4 linked regions of the Ovis aries genome follow. The protein of the gene in region 3 interacts with the protein of the main gene of each other region in a pairwise test. Links are inferred from orthologs where the notes say so. Each region holds a gene or a part of one and is shown on either strand. Other genes may lie near its edges.

The links. The genes of interacting proteins can lie anywhere in the genome.
Region 1: the proteins of RAB2A (region 3) and GARIN6 interact in binary tests that used the Homo sapiens proteins (3 or more experiments, as listed by UniProt). The two-hybrid records come from large-scale screens. The link is inferred for Ovis aries from reciprocal best matches to the Homo sapiens genes RAB2A and GARIN6.
Region 2: the proteins of RAB2A (region 3) and TBC1D25 interact in binary tests that used the Homo sapiens proteins (3 or more experiments, as listed by UniProt). The link is inferred for Ovis aries from reciprocal best matches to the Homo sapiens genes RAB2A and TBC1D25.
Region 4: the proteins of RAB2A (region 3) and FAM114A1 interact in binary tests that used the Homo sapiens proteins (3 or more experiments, as listed by UniProt). The two-hybrid records come from large-scale screens. The link is inferred for Ovis aries from reciprocal best matches to the Homo sapiens genes RAB2A and FAM114A1.

What each region holds. Positions count from the first base shown.
Region 1 is NC_056056.1:169,269,542-169,275,724, reverse strand, and holds the start of GARIN6 (Golgi-associated RAB2 interactor protein 6), read right to left. Parts: upstream 3,444-6,183; coding exon 3,395-3,443; intron 1-3,394.
Region 2 is NC_056080.1:56,503,769-56,509,744, reverse strand, and holds the start of TBC1D25 (TBC1 domain family member 25), read left to right. Parts: upstream 1-2,533; 5' UTR 2,534-2,634; coding exon 2,635-2,754; intron 2,755-4,575; coding exon 4,576-4,685; intron 4,686-5,702; coding exon 5,703-5,857; intron 5,858-5,976. UniProt on the Homo sapiens protein: Acts as a GTPase-activating protein specific for RAB33B. Involved in the regulation of autophagosome maturation, the process in which autophagosomes fuse with endosomes and lysosomes.
Region 3 is NC_056062.1:39,201,377-39,206,924, forward strand, and holds part of RAB2A (ras-related protein Rab-2A), read left to right. Parts: intron 1-3,564; coding exon 3,565-3,676; intron 3,677-5,548.
Region 4 is NC_056059.1:58,805,306-58,811,307, forward strand, and holds the start of FAM114A1 (protein NOXP20), read left to right. Parts: upstream 1-2,559; 5' UTR 2,560-2,634; intron 2,635-6,002. UniProt on the Homo sapiens protein: May play a role in neuronal cell development.

The sequences.
Region 1 (6,183 bases), on a different chromosome or scaffold from region 3:
TTCTGACATTCTCTTGCTTTCTCTATGATCCAACATATATTGGCAATTTGATTCCTCTGCCTTTTCTTTGCATAATATTTAATTTTAAAAATATACTAGAGTGATTTTTAAAAAATCATCCTCTATTGAGATTATTTTCACTCTTTTCCTGACTCTACCCAGTCATTTAGATTGTTGATAGTAGTTTACTGTTAGTAATTATGTTCTGATGAACACATTTATGCATAAATCCTCTATCTTTGATTTTATTTCCTTGGAAAAATTGAATCACTGAACAGAGGTAAGTATCTTTTTAAGACGTTTATAGTTCAGTTCAGACACTCAGTCACGTCCAACTCTTTGTGACCCCATGGACTGCAGTATGCCAGGCTTACCAGTCCATCACCAACTACCAGACCTTACTCAAACTCATGTCTATCGAGTCAGTGATACCATCCAACCATCTCATACTCTGTCATCCCCTTTTCCTCCCACCTTCAATCGTTCCCAGCATCAGGGCCTTTTCCAATGAATCAGCTCTTCACATCGGGTGACCAAAGTATTGGAGCTTCAGCATCAGTCTTGAATATTCAGGACTGATTTCTTTTAGGATTGACTGGTTGGATCTCCTTGCAGTCCAAGGGACTCTGCAGAGTCTTCTCCAATACCATAGTTCAAAGCATCAATTCTTTGGCTCTCAGCTTTCTTTATGATCCAACTCTCACATTTATACATGACTACTGGAAAAACCATAATTTGACTATACAAACCTCTGTTGATATATATATTGACTTTTATATATATTGCCAAATTGCATTACAGAAAGGTAAATTATAGTTTATTAAGGGAAAAGTTACATAATTTCATTAGTTTTTTTTAACTCAATGACATTTTAATGAAGATACTATGTAATATAGGCTTGGATTGTTTTAATTTCTTCCTTCCTCCACAACACTTTCCAGCAGCATTTCAACTTCTCCTATCTCTTGAGATAAACCATTTTATTAAAATTATCTTTTACTATTCAAAACATTATTTTAAGATTTTTCCTTATTTTTAAAATTAATTTTTATTGGGTTTTCATTTGATTTTGAAACTAGCAATAGATGTGACCTCTAGGATTGACTAGTTTGATCTCCTTGCAGTCCAAGGGACTCTCAAGAGTCTTCTCCAGCACCATAATTCAAAAGCATCAATTCTTTGGCACTCAGCCTTCTTTATGGTACAACTCTCACATTCATACATGGCCACTGGAAAAACCATAGCTTTGACAATATGGACTTTTGTCAGCAAAATGATGTCTGCTTTTTAATACACTGTCTAGGTTTGTTGTCAGAGCTTTTCTTCCAAGGAGCAAGTGTCATTTAATTTCATGGCTGCAGTCACTGTCCTCAGTGATTTTGGAGCCCAAGAAAATAAAATCTGTCACTGCTTCCACTTTTTCCTCTTCTATTTGCCTTGGAATAATCTTAGTTTTCTGAATGTTGAATATCAAGCCAGCTTTTTCATTCTTTTCTTTCACCCTCATCAAGAAGCTCTTTAGTTCCTCTTCACTTTCTGCCATTACAGAGGTGTCATCTGCATTATCTGAAGTTGATATTTCTCCCAGGAATCTTGATTCTAGCTTGTGAGTCATCCAGCCTGGCATTTTGCATGATGTTCTCTGCATAGAAGTTAAATAAGCAGGGTGACAATATACAACCTTGACATAATCCTTTCCCAGTTTGGAATCAGTCCTTCATTCCTTGCCCAATTCTGACGGTTGTTTCTTGACCTGCACACATGTTTCTCAGAGACAGGTAAGATGGTCTGGTATTCCTATCTCTAAGAATTTTCCACAGTTTGTTGTAATCCACACAGTCTAAGGCTTTAGTCTAGTCAATGAAGTGGAAATTTTTCTTGAATTCTCGTGCCTTTTCTGTGATCCAACAGATGTTGCAAATTGATCCCTGGTTCCTCTGCCGTTTTCTAAATCCAGCTTGTACATCTGGAAGTCCTTGATTCATATACTGCTGAAGCCTAGCTTGAAGGATTTTGACCATTACTTTGCTAGCATGTGAAATGAGTGCAATTATCTGGTAGTTTGAACAGTCTTTGGCATTGTCCTTGTTTGGGATTGAAATGAAAACTCACTTTTTCCAGTCCTGTGACCACTACTAAGTTTTCCAAATTTGCTGACATATTGAGTGCAGCGCTTTAACTGTTTATCATGTTTTAGGATTTTAAATGGCTCAGCTGGAATTCTGTCTATTCCACTAGCTTTGTTTGTGGTAATGCTTCCTAAAGCCTGCTTGACCTCACACTCCTGGATATGAAGGTGGCTCTAGGTAAGTGACCACACCATCATGGTTATCCTGGGTCATTAAGACCTTTTTTTGTATAGTTCTTCTTCATTGTATTCTTGTCACCTTTTCTTAACCTCTTCTGCTTCTATTAGGTCCTTGCAATTTCTGTCCTTTATTGTGCCCATCTTTGCATGAAATGTTTCCTTTTTATCTCCAATATTTTTGAAGACGTCCCTAGTCTTTCCCATTCTATTGTTTTCCTCTATTACTTTGCATTGTTCAGTTAAGGCTTTCTTATCTCTTCTTGCGATTCTCTGGAACTCTGCATTCAGTTGAGTATATCTTTACATTTCTCCTTTGCCTTTTGCTTCTCTTGACTTTTCTCAACTATTTGTAAGTCCTCCTCAGACAACCACTTTGCCTTATTGCATTTCTTTCTCTTTAGGATGGTTTTGGTCACTGCTTCCTGTGTTACAATGTTATAAAACTCTGTCCATTATTCTTCAGGCATTCTGTCTACCAGATCTAATACCTTGAATCTATTTGTCACCTCCTCTATATTCATAAGGGGTTTAATTTAGGTCATGCTTGAATGGTCTAGAGGTTTTCCCTGCTTTCTTCAATTTAAGCCTGAATTTTCCAATCAGGAGCTCATGATCTGAGCCATAGTCAGCTCCAGGTCTTGTTTTTGCTAACTGTATAGAGCATCTCCATTTGGCTGCAAAGAATATAATCAATGTGATTTTGGTGCTGACCATCTGGTGGTGTCCATGTGTAGAGTCTTTTCTTGTGTTTTTGGAAGAGAGTGTTTGCTAAGACCAGCGTGTTCTCTTGACAAAACTCTGTTAGCCTTTGCCCTGCTTCATATCAACAATTAATTGTATCAATAAGAAATGCATGTGTTATTAATATATTTTTGAGTGAAGAAGGATAGGTTTGGGAATCTTGAGACAGGTGAATGCCAGATAAGAGAATTTCAAAATTTCAAAATAGATGTTTAGAAACCCCTGTAGGATTTTGAGAGAGATAAAACTGTCTCTGGAGGCAGACATATCTTAACTCAAAGTAGTAACTTGGTGACTTTAAGCACTTAAGTTTACTGACTTAAATTTCAGCTGTGTTTCACTCACCTTTCAAGGGCTTAGGGGTACTGGAAATTTTTCTGGTTCTCTGTCTCATACTACTACCACTGGGATATTTGTGGGAGGCTATTTCAAGTCCTCTCTACTCAAATCGCTCTCTGAACCACTTTAAACTCACTACATGGGTGCTCAGTTTTGGACATTGCCTTCCTCCTCCTCCTCCTCCTTTCCTCCCTCCCTCCCCCCACTTCCTTCCTTCTTTCCTTTCTTCCTTCCATAGCTTCTATTTATTAACAGCAAGCTCCAATACTTTGGTCACCTGATGTGAAGAATCGACTTATTGGAAAAGACCCTGGTGCTGGGAAGATTGAAGGCAGGAGGAAGGGGATGACAGAGGATGAGAGGGTTGGATGGCATCACCAACTCAATGGACATGAGTCTGAGCAAGCTCCAGTAGTTGTTGATGGACAGAGAGGCCTGGCGTGGTGCTGTCCATGGGGTCGCAAAGAGTCAGACACGACTGAGTGACTGAGCTGAACTGATGATTTTGTAAAGCAGCCTCGAACCCAGGTCATTCTGATTCTCAAGAGCAGTGTGTTCTGAGGACAGCTTCCTGTAGCTCTCTCTTGAATTCCACTGGTGTGTACACCGTGATGATGATGTGGTACTGGCCTTCTGCAGGCATGTGATCTGGCCTTTCCCTCTCAAAAGGGAACAGACTGGGGTCACGTTTGATGGCATCCACATGAAGTTCCCTGGGATGCAAGTTGTAGCTCCTGCGGTGCTTCCTGCTGGGCCTCAAGCATGGGCCCGATGACCTCCCTCTCTGTCTCGTGCTCTCCCTGCTTATACAGGGACCACTTCTTCAGAAGCTGAGCTCTCATCTCGTTTCTTCAAAGAGCAGTTCCCTCTGAGACTGCTATTTCACTTTATCCAAGAGCTCACAGGGATAATAAAATCCTCAAAGGGAATTAGCTCCTGGCTAGGCTTTCTTCTTTTTCAAATGGTCTTTTACTGCTTGGTCTTTTTAAAGATTTAACTACTTCTTTCACAGAGGTTCTGCTCTCATGGGAACAAGTTCTGAGACGATCAACCATGAAGCTTTCTGATAAGTGTCTCTAGTCTATGTCTGCCAAATTCCCAAAGCATCCATGGCCTTTAGGTTGCTTCCAGGCATGCATTCATTTGCATTCAGGGCCCACACAGAGATTCTGACGTAGCAGTTCTTTAAGTTCTCGTTTGTACTAGGGAAAATGAGGAATACATTTCACTGACCTGAGATTTCCCTAATCTTATCTGATAGACAGTGATAAGATAAGGCAGGGAAATGGAAGGCACTGTAATTTAGGGAGGATGAAACATCCCTTAGTTTAATATTTCCAAAATATTGTCTCTGTTACATTATTATTAGATGTCGCATTTAAGAAGGTTTATCATGGCTCTGAACTCGAGGTGAGCTGAGCATGAAGAGCGCCTGGAAGCGGGTCATACACTACCTGCAGGTAGTAAGCAGGGCATGCTTACCTCCTGGCAGCCGTTTAATTAGAGTGTGATAGGCTTCCCCGTAGGAAAGTTCTAGAAAATCCAATATGGCTTTTAATTTCTCTGGGGAAAAAAAAACCCTCAAAATATAATTTTTACTGAGAGTTGGCTTCAAGTATTAACTTTATATATATTAAAGATTAAATTTTTTTCTCTTAACACAAATTTCTGGCAGCGCTCTATTAATCATCATAAACTTTCTCCCAGAGTTCAGAAATCTTTTTAGAAAGAAGGGAGCAAATAGATATTTTTCCTCTGTAGAATGTAAATGAATTTTTGGTATAAATCATGTGGATTTATATCGAATAACTAGGCAGTTTATTAATTCTAGGAGTGTTTAGCTCAAAGCATATTATGTGCACTGTAATTTATCTCAAAGACTCGATAGTAGCCTTCTGTTTTTTCTTCCGTTTTCCAGAGCTTAAACTTCAGATACTTGTTCTTTTATATTAAATTTACATTGTTTCATTATATTTATCCTTCATATTTCAAGATTTTCTTCACAATAAAATTGTTAGGCAATATATTATAATATCTGATCCAGTGTACCTTGTACACCTGTGTTACAGACCACTATTCTTGGCCCCCTTAATCAATAGAAGTTGATCAGAGCTAAGACAAGAAATTCAGGCAAGGCTTTACTGGGGGTCCCTTTCAACAACAGTGGGGAGCAAGAACAAACAACAGTTTCCCTTGCTGGTGTGTTCCTGAGCTGGGGCATGAGTTGGTTCCAGGCGTCAGGCTGGAGGGGTGGCTTAGGTGGTTTGCCCACCCCTTATGTGCAGGGGGCATGTGCAGTGCCCTATTTTTGCTGCAGGCTATTTTGAAGTGACAAGTGGTATTCGGCTTCTTTGTGCCATTTGTCCAGAATTTGTCCTAACTGCTCATGCATGCAGTTAATTTTAGTCCCATGTAGTTCATATTTTGTTGCTCAGGGAAGGTTGTGTCCAAGTGCAAGCACTGCAGCACTGCAGCAAGGGTCCCAGGTCCCAGGCCTGCCTCACTTGTGCTGGAGATACATTCGGTTCTCATCATTCCCTCTCCTCTTTTGGTGTCTACAACACTAATCTTTTCATTCTTCCCTTTACTGCGTGACTAGTTGACTTCTCTTTATCCTTTTAGTCCCTGAATGTTGATATTCACCACAATTCTATCTCATACATTCAAGTATTTTTAACCTAGATATTTCTCCTGAGCTACAATGTGCTTAGTCACTCAGTTGTGTCTGACTCTTGCAACCCCATGGACTGTAGTCTGCCAGGCTCCTCTGTCCATGGAATTCTCCAGGCAAGAAT
Region 2 (5,976 bases), on a different chromosome or scaffold from region 3:
CTGACCCTATAGATCTTTCCAGCACTCATTCCACAGACCACCATCCTCTCAGCCAGAGACCAGCATCATCATGCCATAGGCCTCGAACCTATGACCTCACAAATTTCCATCACTGACCCCACAGATTCCCCTGATGGTTAATTAGATCCATGAATCACATCTGTAAAGTCTTTTAAGGCATGATCATCCATCCACACCCTTGGCATTCTCTCCAGAATATACCCTTTCTTGTTTTGAAATATGGTCAGGCTGAGAAGTTTCCAAATCCAAGTTCTTCAGTTTACTCAGCCTCTTATCTCCTGATCAGGTATCCCACAAATACCCCATTACTAACTCCATATATCCCCTATTACTCACTCCAAAGAACCCCATCACTACCTTAAAGATTCCCATCACTCACACCAGAGACCCCCACAAAAGTCACTCCACTACCCTCCCATCACTCACCCCACATACTCCATCATTAACTCCTAAGATACCCATCACTGTCCCCACAAACAGCCTTTCATTTGCTCCATTGACAGAATCATTCCCCTCACAGACCTCCATCACTCACACTACAGACCCCATCACTTGCCCCAAGAGACCGTCCATCACTTAGAACTCTATGACTCACTCAGATCCCCCATCATGTATTACACAGACCTTATCACTCCTACCAAATGCCCTATCATTTACCCCATAAGTCTCATCACTCACCATAGATCCCTCAATCACTCACCCTGTAAATTCCCCATAATCACTTTGAAGAACCCATTTACCTTACATTCCCCATCACTCACCCTATAGATCCCCAATTACCCCACAGATCTTCCATCACTTACACCATATCCTATCACTCGTCCCACAGACATTCCTTTACTCACCCCCACAGACCACTTATCATGTACCCACAAATACCCATCACCCTACAGACCCCTATTGCTCATCCAGCAGTCTCTGTCTTTAACCTCCTAGACCTTCAGTCATAAAACAAATGGGTACTTGAGGAATTTTGTGGAGATGACCATGAATAATTAAACTGCAGATACCTGTAGATGGGCTCCAGGTGACCTGTGCAGAGCAGGACTTCAGTTTACTGCTTGAGCCTACAGTGTCACTTTTTGAGAAATGCCTCACTGTTAACCCAAAGCCATGCATTAAGTTCTCACCTCAGATCCATCACTTACCTCATTGTTTACTTAAGGCATGATGGTGCCCTTGCTCTCCCTCAAGTACAGCAGGCACAGCCCCACCTTCTACCCATTGCACTCCCTTCTCTCTGTGCCATTTACTATCCCTTTGACCTCGAGCATGTTTTCCCATGACCTTCATTCAGTGCTTTCATATGTAAAATGCTGATAATGATAGTACCTACCTCAGGATTTTTATGCAGATTAGATGAATTAATATATTTAAACTATCTGGTATACACTGTGTTGAATGGAAGAATGAACAAATGAAAGAGAAAATTCTCCCCTGCACTATGGCAAGGACCTCCTTTTTGCTCTCCTTGCTTCCAGTATATTGCCTTCCAGAGGTTTCTCCACAACCAAGACAGGGGCATCTGAACACATCATAAGCTTGTGCTCCAGGGCCCTCAGGATAAATTCCAAGTTCTAGGCTAATGTTTTGCTCATTCCACTCTATGATAATTTTAAGGAAAAGCGACTTTCAAACTCCTTGTTTCTATCAGAAAACCTGGCAGTGCCACAAGAAGTGTTTTAGAAAAGGAGACTTCTCTAAAAAGGTAACATTAAGGGTAACATCCGTACAATACTGCAATAGCTGAAGTCCAGGTACCTTACAGGACTCCTTGGTTAGAAATTACATTTTTAAGGGCAGCATGTATTTTGTCCAAACCATAGAGACGTTGTAAAGTGAGAATGGCTTTTTGCATTTCGTGGCACATAAACTTTCTCAAAGGAGTCTAAAATATGTCCAGTATTCAGCTGATATTTGGTGGGCACACACCGTTTAATAACAGGACTGACTTCAACGTGTTGTAAAGATTCAATAAAAACAGAGGCAAACTTGTCCACAGAGCATACAAATGGATTTTATCGGTAAATTATTGAAGTATAACATGCAGGCAGAAACTGCAAAAATCTAAATGTACAGGTCCGTGAATTTTCATAACATGTAAGCTATTTTTTAAAAGATTGTGGGAAAAGGATTATTTCATTCAGCAGATTCATTTGAAATGATTTTAAATAAATGACGTCATCTCTAAGCAGAGACTCGAAGCAACGGGAGGCAGGACGTGAGGCCTTGACGTTATCGCGCAGCAGCGTCCTTTCCCCGCCCACTTTTCTCGCCCCAATAGGTCGCCGCGTTAACATCCACCTAGGCGAATCCCGAAGCAAAGTGACCAAATCAAGGACGAGGGAGGCGGGGCCTCAGTAGGCGCCTGCACACTGGCTAAAGTGAGGCAAAATGCCCGGCTCTAGGGGGCGGGGCTCTTGGCAACAGCACACTCTGCGCAAGCGCAGAGGTGACCTCCTCCCTGTGCCAAGCGCGGGGTGGGTAGGGTCGCGTGGCGCCCTCTGCGCCTGCGCCAGGGCACAAGGTGGGGCCGCGGGCGCCCGCATTCTGGCGTGCGCACAAGGGTAGGGGGCAACGGTCAGCTGTCACCCTGAGGTGGGTGGCAGCAGGATGGCGACGGCCTCTGGGTCATCGGACTTGGCTGGCTCCGGAGCGCCCTCGCCTGGTGGGGGGGCCCAGGCGGCGGCAGCTGAGGAGGAGGAGCGAGAGGTGGTGCGGGTCCGAGTCAAGGTGAGGCTGGTGGCTCGTCGTTCAGCCCGCCCAGAGCTCCCGGGAGAGGGGAAGGTGGTGGCTGTCCTAGGATGGAGGGCGGGACTTGAGAATTGGGGTGTTACGTGAGGGGAGAGGCTAGAGAGCAGAATATTGGTGGCTTGGGTGGGGGCTGGGGGAAGGCTGGACCTGGGAATGCGGGGGCAGAGGGTGGGGCGTGGGGATTGCAAATAGAAGGGTAGGGCCCTCTGGAATGGATAGGAGGAGATTGTGGGTAGAGAGGAGGGGCTATAGGGTTGGAGGAGGGGCCTTAATGGAGTGGAGCCCTGAGAAATGAGGGAGGTTGTTGCTGTCTGAAAAGGAGGCGCTGACATCAGTTTACCATTGTGTTGAGAGTGCACTTTTGTGCAAATCCCCACCCTGGATGAGCAGACACACTCGTCGGGGAGACAAACGGCTAAATAAAGGAAATGCTTCAGACACTGGTGAATGTCATGGGGAGATAACAAAAAAGATTCCGAACTAGGGAGTTACTTTAGCCAAGGTCGTCCAGGGAAATACCCAGAAAGGTATTGAAGGAACAGAGACCCAAATAAAAAGGAGTCACCAATGTGCATATCAGGGGGGAAGAGTGTTTTAGACCGAGAGAACAGCAAGGAGAGTGTTTTAGACCGAGAGAAAAGCTGGGAGGTGGGGATGAGTTTGACATGTTCCTTTAGGTTTCCATATTGCTGGAGCCCAGAGAGTGAGAGGAAGAGTGGTAGGAGGTGGATAGGAGAGGTAAGAGAGGGGCAGATTGTGAAGGGCCTTTGGCATGTATTCTAGAGTAAGAAAGCTGTGGCAGTAGTTCCAGCAAGCAGTGATAGTGGCTCAGACTAGGGCGGTGGCACTGGTGGTGAGAAGAGGTTAGATTCTCGAGAGAAGTAAACATCACTTCAGTGCAATAGAGCAAGCTCAAAGGTAGAGGTTTGGGTGTTCAAAGAAAAGATGCTTAAGCTGTGAGTGAGCCAGTTAAAGAGTGGGAAGGACCTTCCACTCCACCTTCCTCCATCCTAGGACTGGGGGATCTCCACAAGCACAGGCCTGGAGCCAAAATGTGTTCAGAGTAACTTCTGGGAGTTTGGTAGTACCAGAGTGTAAAATTCAAAAAAGCTCCTGTTGGGAATCCTGGGGTTCCTTTCAAAGAGATTTAAGCAAGAGAGTTTTGTAGACAGACATGCTAGATTGGTTGCAGCGTGGAGGACTGGTTTAATAAGGGCCAAGCTGGACATGTCTTTTTGCCTTTTCATACTGTTCATGGGGTTCTCAAGGCTCATTGGAAAAGACCTTGATGCTGGGGGAGATTGAGGGCAGGAGAAGAAGGGGGCGTCTAAGGATGAGGTGGTTGGATGGCATCACGAACTCAATGGACGTGAGTTAGCCTGGCGTGCTGCAGTCCATGGGATCACAAAGAGTCAGACACAACTGACTGAACAACAAAAGATTGAACATGGTGATCTTGGCAACCATCCTTGAGGGGATGTAGAAGGATTGGGTGCCTGGACTATTGCAGTAGCCTCCTCCTCACTGGACCACTGCTTTCTCCTTTGTCCCCCATGGACTGTTCATAGAGCAGCCAGAAGGGTCCTGTTAAATCCTGAATCAGACCACATCCCTCCTCTACTCAGAACTCTCCCAAGCCTCCCCCCTCACTCAGAGCACAAACCCCAGTTCTCTCCATGGCCCAGAACTCCCGCCTTGATCTGGCCCCTGCCACATCTCTACCCTTACTTTCTGCCATATCATCCATGTAATTGTGGTGATGTGACCCCTGATGGCCTACCCCATGTCTTCTCTCCACAGAAATGTGAGAGCTTCTTGCCGCTTGAGTTTCGCTCTTTTGCTGTGGACCCCCAGATCACTTCACTTGATGTGTTACAACACATCCTCATCCGAGCCTTTGACTTGAATGGGTGAGTAATGGGGTGTGGGGCAAAACCAGTGGGCCACCCACCTTGACAGCAGTTGTTTGGCATTTTTATTGCTGTTGTTTGGTAGGGAAGGATGTTTGTTTTGTCATTAATATAAATAGTCCCATAATAAACAAATTAAGTTTCAACAGATGTTTCCAAAATGTTCAGGTAGGTGTTACCAATTTACCATCTCAGCAGCAGCCCATAAAGTTTCTGTTTTCCTCACACCCTCACAAACACTGGTTACTAAAAAACATTAGAAAATTTGCCAACCTGATAGATGAAAAATAGTGTCTCGTGGGGGCAAATGTGATGGTTATTTTGGTATCATTGTTATTTTGGAGGAATATATGCACATGGTAACAGACTCAAAGGGTACAAAAATGGTGGGTATTTGGGGGGGTTTCCATGGTGACAGTCAGTTCTGGCGATGGCTCAACAGGTAAAGAATCCACCTGCAATGCAGGGGACACAGGAGATGAAGGTTTGATTCCTGGGTTGGAAAGATTCCCCTGGAGAAGGAAGACTCCCCTGGAGTGGCAACCCACTCCAGTATTCTTGCCTGGAAAATTCTATGGACAGAGGAGCCTGGCAGGCTACAGTCCATGGGGTCACAAAGAGTTGAACACAACTGAGTGACTAAACATGTTCATGGTGACAGTAGTTATCACACAACATGCTTTGCATAGAGTTGCTCTGGTGTATCTAAAGAACAAGTTCTTAGTTGTTATTTGACTTTTTTACATAAACATTTTCTGTTGTGAAAAATAACAACCATACAGCTTGCTTTATTTTTTATGCGCAAGGCTGCTTGCTTCCCACTTCCATCCCTCAACTACTCAGTTACCCTCCCTAGAGGAGACCCCAGTACCAGTTTTCAGTGTATTCTCCACATACAAGCAGATGTGAATCTGTTTCTGTGTTTGTGAAACAAGCTTCCCAGGCTTCTTTTGGAAATGGTCCCTGAGGCTTCCCAGGCACAGGGGCCCTGAAAGCTGCGGTGTTTCCTCTGTCCAGGAAGAAGAACTTTGGTATCAGCTACCTGGGCCGAGATCGGATGGGGCAGGAAGCTTACCTCTCACTCTTGTCTGACTGGGACCTCAGCACGGCCTTCGCCACTGCCTCCAAACCTTACCTGCATCTGCGTGTAGATATCCGGCCTACTGAGGACAGTGAGTACCCGGTGCTCTGGGGGCACTGCCCTGTGATACCCCCATTTCCCCATAGGATGACTCTACTCCTCACAACACTCTTTCACAGTGGGCTAAGGAGCAAGGAATCCTAGGTCCAA
Region 3 (5,548 bases):
GAGAAGAGGTAATCTTTTCTTCAAATGGAGCTGGAACAATTGAATAGCCATGTGCAAAAGATTAACCTTGATCCTTACCTCACACCATATACAAAAATTAACTGGAAATTGATTATAGACCTCAATGTAAGAGCTAAAGATATTTTAAAAAAAAACTCTAGAAGAAAGCATATTAAATTTTAGGGATTCTGATTTTGTCAAACATTACTTACATAGAGAATGATCAACTTAACAAGTATTGGCAAGGATTTAGAGGAAATTGAAACTCTCATCTGCTGGTGGGGATATAAAATCATGCAATGATTTTGCAAAACAATTTAGGAGTTTCTTTAGAAAATAAACACACATTTGCTATACCACTTAGCCATTTCACTCCTAAGTATTTACCCGAGAAAAAAGAGGATAAAGGAGACATGTTTTGTTGTTCCATTTATGTAAAACCCTAGCAAATGCAGACTGTTCTTTAATAGCAGAAAGCGGATCATTAGTTGCCTAGGGCACAGGGGAAGGAACAGGTGAATTACAGTGGGGAATGGTGGCTTCACAGGGTATACACATATCAAACTCATCAAGTTTTCTATTAAATGTATTTTTTTAATGTTATATTGCTATAAAGCTGTTTTTAAAAAAGTAATATAACAAGTAAATATTATACTGAGTAGATTAAATTTTTTTAGTGTTATTTTAATTGAGGTTTGCTGTTAGGAGAACATACAATTGTCCCTCCATATCCATGGGGGATTGATTCTGTCATTCCCCTCAGATATCAAAATTCTTTTAAGATTAAGGCTATTGGAGGGAAGCTTTGGTCTTTGTATTCAGTAATATGGAAGTATTCATACTACCATATGTGTGAAATAATAAGAGGAGAATATTTGAGGAATAAAGAAAATTTTCACACTTTTATCTTACCAGTGTTTTCCTTGTGTCTAAAACGAGACTGGGAAAAAAAAAAAAAAAAAACGAGACTGGGGCAGCTTGTTGTTCAGTCACTAAGTCATGTCTGACTCTTTTGCGACCCCATGGACTATAGCCCACCAGGCTCCTCTGTCCATGGGATTTGCCAGGCAAGAATACTGGAGTGGGTTGCTCTTTCCTTCTCCAGGGGATCTTCCCAACCCAGGGAGCGAACCCTGCATTGGCAGGCCAGCTTTTTACCACTGAGCCACTGGGGAAGCCACTTAGGTGGCTTAAATTTGGTTGCTGCCTATAAGTTCAGTTGTGAAAAGAAAGAGCAAAATATAGTGTATACCAAACATGTTTCTAATGATTGTAGAAGGGTAGTTCTTTAGGATACACTAGCTATGGAAAGACATTTTAGGGAAGAAACTAAGAAAAAAAGGAAATGTATGACATTCAAAGAGTGAATGGCAATGGACAGAGATAAATGGGATTATCATCAGATAAGGGGAATTGGGGTAAACCTGGAGACAGAGACTAAGCCGTTTTTGAGTTAGGTGAATTAAGCTGTAGGGAGCCAGTGGAACCATTTGAGAAAGGTAGTGACCTAGTCAGAATGACAGATGACATAGATATTTCTTAACTGTGGCATTGGGAATTGATTATACAGGAAATTAGAAAGCAGAGTCTACAAAGATGAAAGTTTTTAATAGTTAAAGGATTAGAATACCCTAAACAAGAAAGCATAAGTTAAGAAAATGTTTTAGGAAAGAAAGATATTTAAGTAGTAAAAGTGATTTGAGTGGGATTAATGGGGTGAAAGCTCAAAGACAATAATATGATTTTATGCCTGGAAAACTGAAGAAATGCATGCTAAAACAGAAGAACTGAACACTGAAGTGCCACTTTGTTTTGTTCAAACAACCCCTTATATGTACACATCCTTAACCCTCTGCTAATATAACATTTGCAAATGTAGACATCATCAGAGATACTGGTAGGGAAAACTTGTGAGTAACTTGAAATATCCCCAAATAAGGGATTATTTAAATAAAACATGGCATACACAAACATTCAGAAACGTAAGATCATGGCATCTGGTCCCATCACTTCATGGAAAATAGATGGGGAAACAGTGGCTGACTATTTTTCTGGGCTCCAAAATCACTGCAGATAGTGACTTCAGCCATGAAATTAAAAGACGCTTACTCCTTGGAAGAAAAGGTATGATCAACCTAGACAGCATATTAAAAAACAGAGACATTACTTTGTCAACAAAGGTCCATCTAGTCAAGGCTATGGTTTTTCCAATGGTCATGTATGGATGTCAGAGTTGGACTATAAAGAAAGCTGAGTGCTAAAGAATTGATGCTTTTGAACTGTGGTGTTGGAAAAGACTCTTGAAAGTCCCTTGGACTACAAGGAGATCCAACCAGTCCATCCTAAAGGAGATCAGTCCTGGGTGTTCATTGGAAGGACTGATGTTGAAGGTGAAACTCCAGTACTTTGGCCACCTGATGCTAAGAGCTGACTCATTGGAAAAGACCCTGATGCTGGGAAAGATCGAGGGTAGGAGAAGGGGACGACAGAGGCTGAGATGGTTGGATGGCATCACCGACTTAATGGACATGGGTGTGGGTGGACTCCGGGAGTTGGTGATGGACAAGGAGGCCTGGCATGCTGCGGTTCGTGGGATTGCAAAGAGTCGGACACGACTGAGCAACTGAACTGAACTGATACACATAAAATGGGATGAAGGGCAGTTAAGGGAAAGTATTTTCTTGAAGATTTTGTGTAACTTAAGGCTAATTTCAGATAACAAAAGTCTTAAGAATGATTGTCAGAAAAGGGAGCTGACAGTAGCACACTGCCATATCATTGTTGAGGGTATACCCCAACCGTTATTTTTTATTCCTGCTAGAATATAAGCTCCATGAGGTGGCCGGGGTGGGTGGGGGCGAGGTGTTTAATGTCTGATTTGATGAGTGGTCTGTCCCCAGATCCTGTTGGATAGATTATCTTCATCCAGTTATGCAGACTGAGTTTAATTTTTTTTTAACAATAAAACATACTTGAAGAAGAGACAGCTACTTTTTACCCCTACCTTAACTAATATAATTCCAGTATGATAAAAATGAATACTGTACTTCTGTCCAAACTTTCTAAATTAGACTTCTATTTTTCTCTCTCTCTTCTTTCATTAACAGTTTTATTGGGAATTAAACCAACTAGGATGAATAATAATGTTTCAGTAGTACTTTGAATTTTATCAGTCAACTTCCTGTAGTCTCTGAGGATTGTGTGACTTATTTTTAATCATGTTCAGACTCTGAGTCTGGCTGCAGGATGAGGAGCCTAGTGAACTATGTTGAGTAAGATAGTTCCTTCTTTCGGAACCTGCTGTACTCAAAGGTGGGATTTGAGGCTTGATGTTCACTTTGAGTTTCTCTGGGTTTAGCATCTAGGACTCTAACTTAGAATCTTTCTTTGCTTGGATTGTTAGTTCTTTGAAGCTCAGCTGTGTGCACTTCGACTCTCGTAATACGCAGGATAATGCAGTTGATGATTATGTGTGAAAAATTAATTGGAAGAATGGTCAGCACAACTTTGAATCTAATTGTACTGTGTTGGTTGATAACTGAGCCCTTTCTTTCCCATGTTCAGTGATTTAGAATCTAGAAGAGAAGTTAAAAAGGAAGAAGGTGAAGCTTTTGCACGAGAACACGGACTTATCTTCATGGAAACTTCTGCTAAGACTGCTTCTAATGTAGAAGAGGTAAATAAAAGGCCTTTTAAAAATGCATATCATTCTGCATGATAGCAATCATTTGTTAATCATTTGTTGGTTATACCCCATAAGCTTTTTAGACACAGATAGTTGTTGAAAGTAGAAAATTTCTTTCCTTTGAAATACCTTGTAACATTCATGTTATATTAGATTCTTAAATTATATTCTGATGCTTCTCTTGAAGTCAGAATGATTTAACGGATCTTTGTATATACTTTCCCTAAAATCTTTTTTAATGTGGCTGAAGAGGGAAAAAAAAGAACAGTAATGAAATTTGGAAGTGTTTCAAGACACTAAACATTTGTAGCTGTTTGCATCCACTTCTGCTTAAATAGAGGAAGTATTATTGCTATGTAACATTATACACAACATGGCCATATTTAATAAATAAGATTTGTGGTATCTCAATTATTTCTGTTGTCAACCTGAACTGTGGAAGTTTTCTGAACACACCATATTTTCCTGTGCTTTGTGTATGTGGGATATGGTATTTATTTACTGCACATGCAGAAGTAGGCAGTTAATCCTCTCTAAAAGGAGAAATGAGACCTAAGAAAATATGTAGTTTGCACAGTGTAATGCTGCAGTTTCTGCCTTCTGGGTAAGAATTTTAAAAGCAGCTGCAGAAAGGGATTCTGCAATGATTGGAGAAGCACGTCCTTTAAGGATAGGGGTCCTAGGCCACAGCTAGCCCTGTGCCTTCCACATAGTAAACAGTGAATACATATTTATTAAGAATAATACTCGTCTAATTACCTGTTGAACCCAGAAGTTGACTATAGTAGTTCAGCAGCATTGGTATTTTTACTGAAGGATTCTTAGGTAAGATATCCTGCTCATCTCCACTTAATGAGGTGCTCTGTGATTGTCCTTAATATGTTTGTTACAGGCTCCAACTAATGCTTTACCTGTGTTACCAATTAATTGCAACTTGAAGACATATGAAAATGTTTTACTTTACACAGCAAACCCAGAGAGAAATCCATTCTGTCTTCTTGTTTAACTTAAAATAGAAAGCTGCCTGTTTCAGTGATACATTTCTTTTCTTAGAGGTGTTGGATTTGAAACTGGAGGGGCTAGTGTGTTGTGGTGGTTTTAAGACATATGAAACATATCCTTATTGATTATAAACAGGATTTTCTTGTTGATTTTGAGAACCTTAAAACCAGAACTATCTATATTTTATGAAGGAGCTGTCCTATGAAGTCAAATGACAAGACTGCCACTACCGGAAAGTAATTCTGAATTTCTAGTTTTAACTCTGAAGCCTTTGTGTTCATTTTCTTATTTTTAACAAGTCACAATAGGTATTTATTTATAAGTAGAAAATTACTATTGTCATTTGACTGAACATTTAAATGAAGTATATTTCATTAATGTTTTGGCAGCACTATTACAAAAATTCTGTATCTGCAGTTAATAATGAAAATAATTGTTTAAATTTGATCAGGGCAGGAATTTTCCACAGTCTTGAGAGAACAGCACTTTTCTTAATCATGTAAATTAATTTGCCTCTCAGAAGCCAAGGATATTAAGAGATAATCTTTTTAAATTCCATTTTTAAAGGATTCATAGATAAGCATTGCATAATATAACATGTGAGATCTTACCTAAAAGCTAAAAATGTTTCATGATAAAATAAGAAGATGGAAGTCCATTCTGTGATCCAGAGGAAATCATTTGAACATGAAAATAATAACCAAAGGACTCCTGCATCTGGGAACATGGAGTAGACTGACTTTCCACCTACTTTTCCTGCTGAGTACAACTAAAACTCTGAGCATTATATGTAAAACAGTTATAAGAAGACAGAAAGGTGGCAGGAAGGCGGCCAACCAGCTAGAGACCCTGGGATCTGAG
Region 4 (6,002 bases), on a different chromosome or scaffold from region 3:
TGATGCTTTTGAACTGTGTTGGAGAAGGCTCTTGAGAGTCCCTTGGACTGCAAGGAGATCCAACCAGTCCATCCTAAAGGAGATCAGTCCTGGGTGGTCATTGGAGGGACTGATGCTAAAGCTGAAACTCCGATACTTTGGCCATCTCATGTGAAGAGTTGAGTCATTGGAAAAGAGACTTATGCTGGGAGGGATTGGGGGCAGGAGGAGAAGGGGCCGACAGAGGATGAGAGGGCTGGATGGCATCATTGACTTGATGGACATGAGTTTGGGTGAACTCCGGGAGTTGGTGATGGACAGGGAGGCCTGGTGTGACTGAGCGACTGAACTGAACTAAACTGAATGAGGTTCAATTAAAATAAATAAATAAGAAGACGTAAACAGACATTTTTCCAAAGAAGACATATAGCTGACCAAGAGATACATGAAAAGACATTCAACATTGCTAATTATCAGAGAAATGCAAATCAAAGCTATAACTAGATGTCATGTCACATCAGTCATTATAGCCATCATCAAAAATCTACAGAGAATAAATGCTGGAGGAGGTGTGGAGAAAAGGGAACCCTCCTACACTGTTGGTAGGAATGTAAATTGGCACAGTCACTATGGAGAACTACAGGGACGTTCCTTAAAAAACTAAAAATAGAACTATCATAGATCCAACAATCCCACTCCTGGACATATATCTGCAGAAAAACATGGTTTGAAAGGCTACATGCACCCCAATGTTCACTGCAACCTTGTTTACAATAGCCAAGACATGGAAGCAACCTAAATGTCTACAGATGACTAGATAAAGAAAATGTGGGTAATGGAATATTACTCAGCCATTAAAAAGAACGAAATAATGTTATTTACAGCTACATAGATGGACCTAGACATCATCATATTAAGTGAAGTCAGACAGAGAAAGACAAATATAGTGGTGCTTATATGTAAAATCTTTTAAAAATTGTACAAATGAACTTTTTTTCCAAAACAGAAACAGATTCACAGACTTTGAGAACAAACTTATTGTTGTAGGGGGGAGGAGGGGGATAGATTAGGAGTTTGGGATTGATCTATATACAATAGATAACCAAGAGGAACAGGGAACTGTGCTCAATATTCTGTAATAACCTGAATGGGAAAGAATTTGAAAAAGAATTGATACAGGAATGTGTATAACTGAATCACTTTGCTACACACCTGAATCTAACACGACATTGTTAACGGACTATACTCCAATATAAAATTAAAATTAAAATTAAAAAAAACGGGTGTGTGTGGGCGGGGGGGTGGGGGGGTGGGGTGGAATGCCTGATTGCGCTATTGCCTTTCAGCAGGGTAGAGAGGGGCAGGTTTGGCAAAGGAACTTGCTGTGCCCTGTGCTAAGTCGCTTCAGTTGTGTCCGACTCTGCGACCCTGTGGACTATAGCCTGCCAGGCTCCTCTGTCCATGAAACCTTCCAGGCAAGAATACTGGAGAGGGTCGGGTTGCCATGCCCTCGTTCAGGGCATTTTCCGGACCCAAGGATCCAACCGGTATCTCTAATGTCTCCGGCATCAGCAGGTGGGTTCTTTGACCCAAGGCAAACATAAGTCACAGGCACGGTGTCTGTGGTACACCAAAACACACCTGGAATACAATTTGCTAACACCACTGAAGAACTCAGAAAAAAATAACTGCTTTCAACATTAAAATCTCCTTTTTATATAAAAATACATATACTATATATTCACAAGAATAGATTTATACTGTACATGCGCTCTTCTAAGTTTTCCCTGCCCTCACTTAATATTCGGCTATGGTCCGCCCTCCTTCCATATCAACAAACTGGACATACAGTTATAATTTCTAACGACTACAGCATACCTGGTCGTTTGAAGTTACTAAAAATTACTTCACCAATCTTTTGTTGGGAGGACAGTTTACTTCCGGGTTGTTTTCTGTGGCACAAACAATCACAGTCAACATCCTCGGACATACACGTGTGCACAGTTGACTGCTTACTTGGTACACATTCGCAGATGTGGAATTCCTGGGCCAGTGCTAACACATTTGAATTTTGATCCACGTTTCCAAACTGGCCTTCTAGAAAGTGTTTTTATTCGGTTGGCTGGTTTTAAATCAGATGACACTCTCACAAACAGGGTAAGGGAAAGCTATTTAAAGCACCATGCGGGGGGGTGGGGGCGGGGGCGGAGGAGTGGGATCGAAAACTCTTGCTGAACTTGAGCAACCCCTTCCTGGTTTAACTGCGCAGTTTCCTGGCCGCTTTTAAAGGAAGGAAAGGGAACGGGAGAGCCCCTAGATCCGCCCCGGGCGGGGGTGGGCGCCCCTCCAGCTCACCAGGCGGCACGAAGTTCGGAAAAACCAAGTTTCCGATGCTTGGTCGGAAATGCGGCCGCGACCCCCATCCTCGAGCCCCGCAGCCTGGGTGAGGGGGTGCCCGGACCTCCGCCGCGCTCCGGGCCGGGACCCTGGCGGGGCCGCGGGGGCGGGGCCCTGGCGGGGCCGCGGGGCGGGGCCGCGCGGCCAGCCCGCCCCGTCCCGCTCCCAGCCCGCCCTCCGGCCGCGTCCCCGCCGGCCCTGCCGACGTGGCGGGGCGGGACCCGGCGGCGCTCCCGCGCGCACTCGGCCGCCTGAGCGGTAAGAGCCCCGGGCACCTCTCGCCTTCACCCCCTTCCCCGGGCGGGCGCGGGGGCGGGGGGATGCGGGAACAGCTGCGGCGGGGTGACGGGGAGACCCTGCCGTCTCTGTCTATCCCGTTCGGTTCCCCGAGTCGGCAGGGGCTGGGCACCGGGCGCAGGATCGGAGGGAGCGGCCCTGGAGGTGAAGGTCCGGGCAGGCGCGGGCGGCGCGGCCGAGGGCCCCGCGTGGGTGCGGGCGTGTGAGTGTGTGTGTGTGAGTGTGTGTCGCTCCGGGTCCACGCTCATGCACACACCCACACGCCCGCACTCCTGCTCTGCCCCCTCGGCCGGCGTGAACCTCTGCGGAGCCTGCCTTGTGCTCCCGAAGTATTCGGTCCCAGCACAAAGCAAGTCTGAAAAAGTTTCCCCCAGGTCCCAGGTCCCAGTGAGAGGCAAGCTGCGGGGTGTCCGCAGCGGCGGGCACAGGCGAAGCAAGTCTCATCCCGGGGTTCGCCAGCCCTTGGCCTGGAAAAGCCGAGCTCCGGCCTTGCCCTCCCACCTAAGCTCATCATCCGTCATCTCTCCCGCTGCAGACGCCGGCACTGCCGGCGCTTCCACCCCAGCTAGCACCCTGAGCCAGCCCACCTCTATTCACAGCCTCCAGGTTGAGCCCCACTCCCCGCCCCAACCCCCCCACCCGCCGGCCCAGTCGCTCCTCTTCCTCCCTGGAACCAGGTATTTCTAACCATCTCAGATCAGGCACCTGAATTTCACTGCCCTTCCTGGAGTAGAAAGAACTCTGCATGAACTGTCAGGGTGATCTCTCTGTCCTTCGATGCCATCAGTTCTCATCCTAAACATCTTGAGAGAGTCAAGTGGGTGGCTTTTAAAGTCAATGTCCCGAACTCCAGAAGACCTCGTCCACCCTGAGAAAACTAAGTAGGCAGGCTTTCTCCTCAGAGCCTTCTCTGCCCTCTTTTCCTCCCGTTGCCCCTTCCCCACCTCACCTGTGTCCATTCCCTGCCTTTCCTTCCTTTCCTGAGCTCAGGAAAAAATCTGATAAACTTCTTAGGGCATAAGTTCTAAGCAAAAGAAGGGAACTTTGAGGGTGGGATCTGAGCCTCCTTGGAGCCAGTGCAGAAGGAATTTGAGGGTGGGAAGGAGCCTTGCTGATTCTCACGGATTCAGACATCATTAGACCAGGCTTACATCACACATTGTTTCTCTTTAATCAATATCAAACAATATATTTCAGTTCAGTAAATATTAGATCGTCGGAAAACAAGCTAGGTGCTTGTTGGTCACAGTTCTGGAGGAGAGACAAATGTCTCCTTTTAAAAAATGATACCAAAAAAATGATACAGAAATAAATACTCCTTAAAAATGCCATAGAAGTCTATGCAATGTATCTTCTAAAACATTGGAAGGAGTGGGGCAAATTTGGGAAAATTTCAAAGTAGAAAGTAACATTGTTGTTCAGCCACTGAGTCATATCAGACTCTGCCATCCCATGAACTACAGCGCACCAGGCTTCCCTGTGCTTTACTGTCTCCTGGAGTTTGGTCAAACTTACGTCCATTGAGTTGATGAAAGTGATTCTAGACACCGAGAGAAAAAAAAAAAAACAAAACAGGACTTTGCCAGGCAGTTGGAGGCAGGGCATCCTGGTCAGAAAACCCAGCATAAGCAAAGATGGAGATGTTTATGAGCTGCCTGGGCAGTGATGGAAAATGTGCTGTCTGTTGAGTTGAGAGTTCCAGGAGGCTGATAGAGAAAGTGGAGCTGGACTGTGAGGGGCCCCAGATGCCATGCAAAGGTGTTTAAACCTCCTGTTTTTTAAACAGGTCCTTATTTGTGTTTCATAAAGTTACCTGGCAGACGTGTGGAAGCCAGACTGGAGGAAAAAGAGTCTGGGCTCTGGGTACACATACTTGTCAAGTACCGCTGGAACTCTTGCAACCTGGTTAAGATCCTGTCATCCAGTTTTTGTTCCTGGTCTTTCACTGACTGACACTTTTTAAATTTGGAGGCAGTGATCTCACACAGGGTATTGTATTACCAACTCCTTATTTTGCCAAGTGAGACCATTTAACAAATCCATGCACTCCAATACTATTTCATAAAATGAAAGATGTTTTAATACCAAGAAAAGCATGAAGGTTAAACTTGCAAGATGAAGGCAGTCCTTTACATTGAATAAATTTAGACTGATGAAACACTCTCTATCTTGTCCTTATTTTTCTCTGTCATCACGGGCTGGTCCCAGTCCTGCAGTCTGGTGCGCGGGAACAAAGTATGCAGATCGGTATGTCCACCACCCTTACTCTCCAGAGGAGGAAGTAAGGAAGCCCAATGAGAATGAGTGGGCTGTACACCTGCAGAGGGATAGAGAGATCAGAGCACAATTCTTTCCACCTCAGCATCCATCCCTCCCATCCCTTGATATTCCTCCGTGTGGCTCTTGGCCCAGCCGCACAGCATCCATTCTGCATGTCTAGATTCATTCCTAGCACTTGCATACACTCCTTTCCCATCAGGCCTTAATGACTGTCAAAGCCTCTTTCAAGGTTCTCCCTTGTATGAGATCAGTCTAGTTCAGGCACTTCTTTACTTGCTGTGATGTGCTGTTTTAAATCATCATTTAACCATTCTGTGTTAGATGCAGTAGCTTCCTGGACCTTCACTGACCAGGAATCAGATGGAAACAGATTATTCATTTTCTGAAGGATGTCTTCCATTTTAAACTTATTTTTGGAGCCATGAAATTGTTGCTCCAATACCTAGCATAGCTCTGGGAGCATTTTAGGTGATGCATGAATTGACTCATGAAAAACTAACTTATATTCCCAGCCCACAAAGGCTTCTTTATATGCCACTCTTCCTCTTCTTGGAGTTTACTGAAGAAACTTCCTTGTTTCTGTGGGTTGAGGCTCCCTAGCATCAAAGCCACAGGACACGGCTGTAATGGTCAACAGTCCAAACCATAAATCAGGGCAAGTTTAAATCCGACTGCTTCTGGGGCACCCAGGCAGAGATGGGGGCCAACCCAGGACACACAGCATGCATCCCAGCCACCAACAGTCCCTACATAGGAACAGCTGTGTCTTAGAACACACAGTTTATAATGACTTCAGGTGGAAGGGCACTGTTTTAAAAATGACTACCTCTCTCCTGTCATAACATCCAGAGTAGACCACGGTCTACCAGAATAAAAAAGATTTGGAGGAAGCTTTGTTTTTTTGGTTTAGATTCAGGGAAAATATGGACTTGTAACAGGTAGAAAAGTTCACATACGATTAGAAGTTAAAGTAGGGCCGACCATTTTGATGATTTGGAAAGATGTAAAAATATAGTCTTCCTGAAATAAATTGTCCATAAATGTGTCCT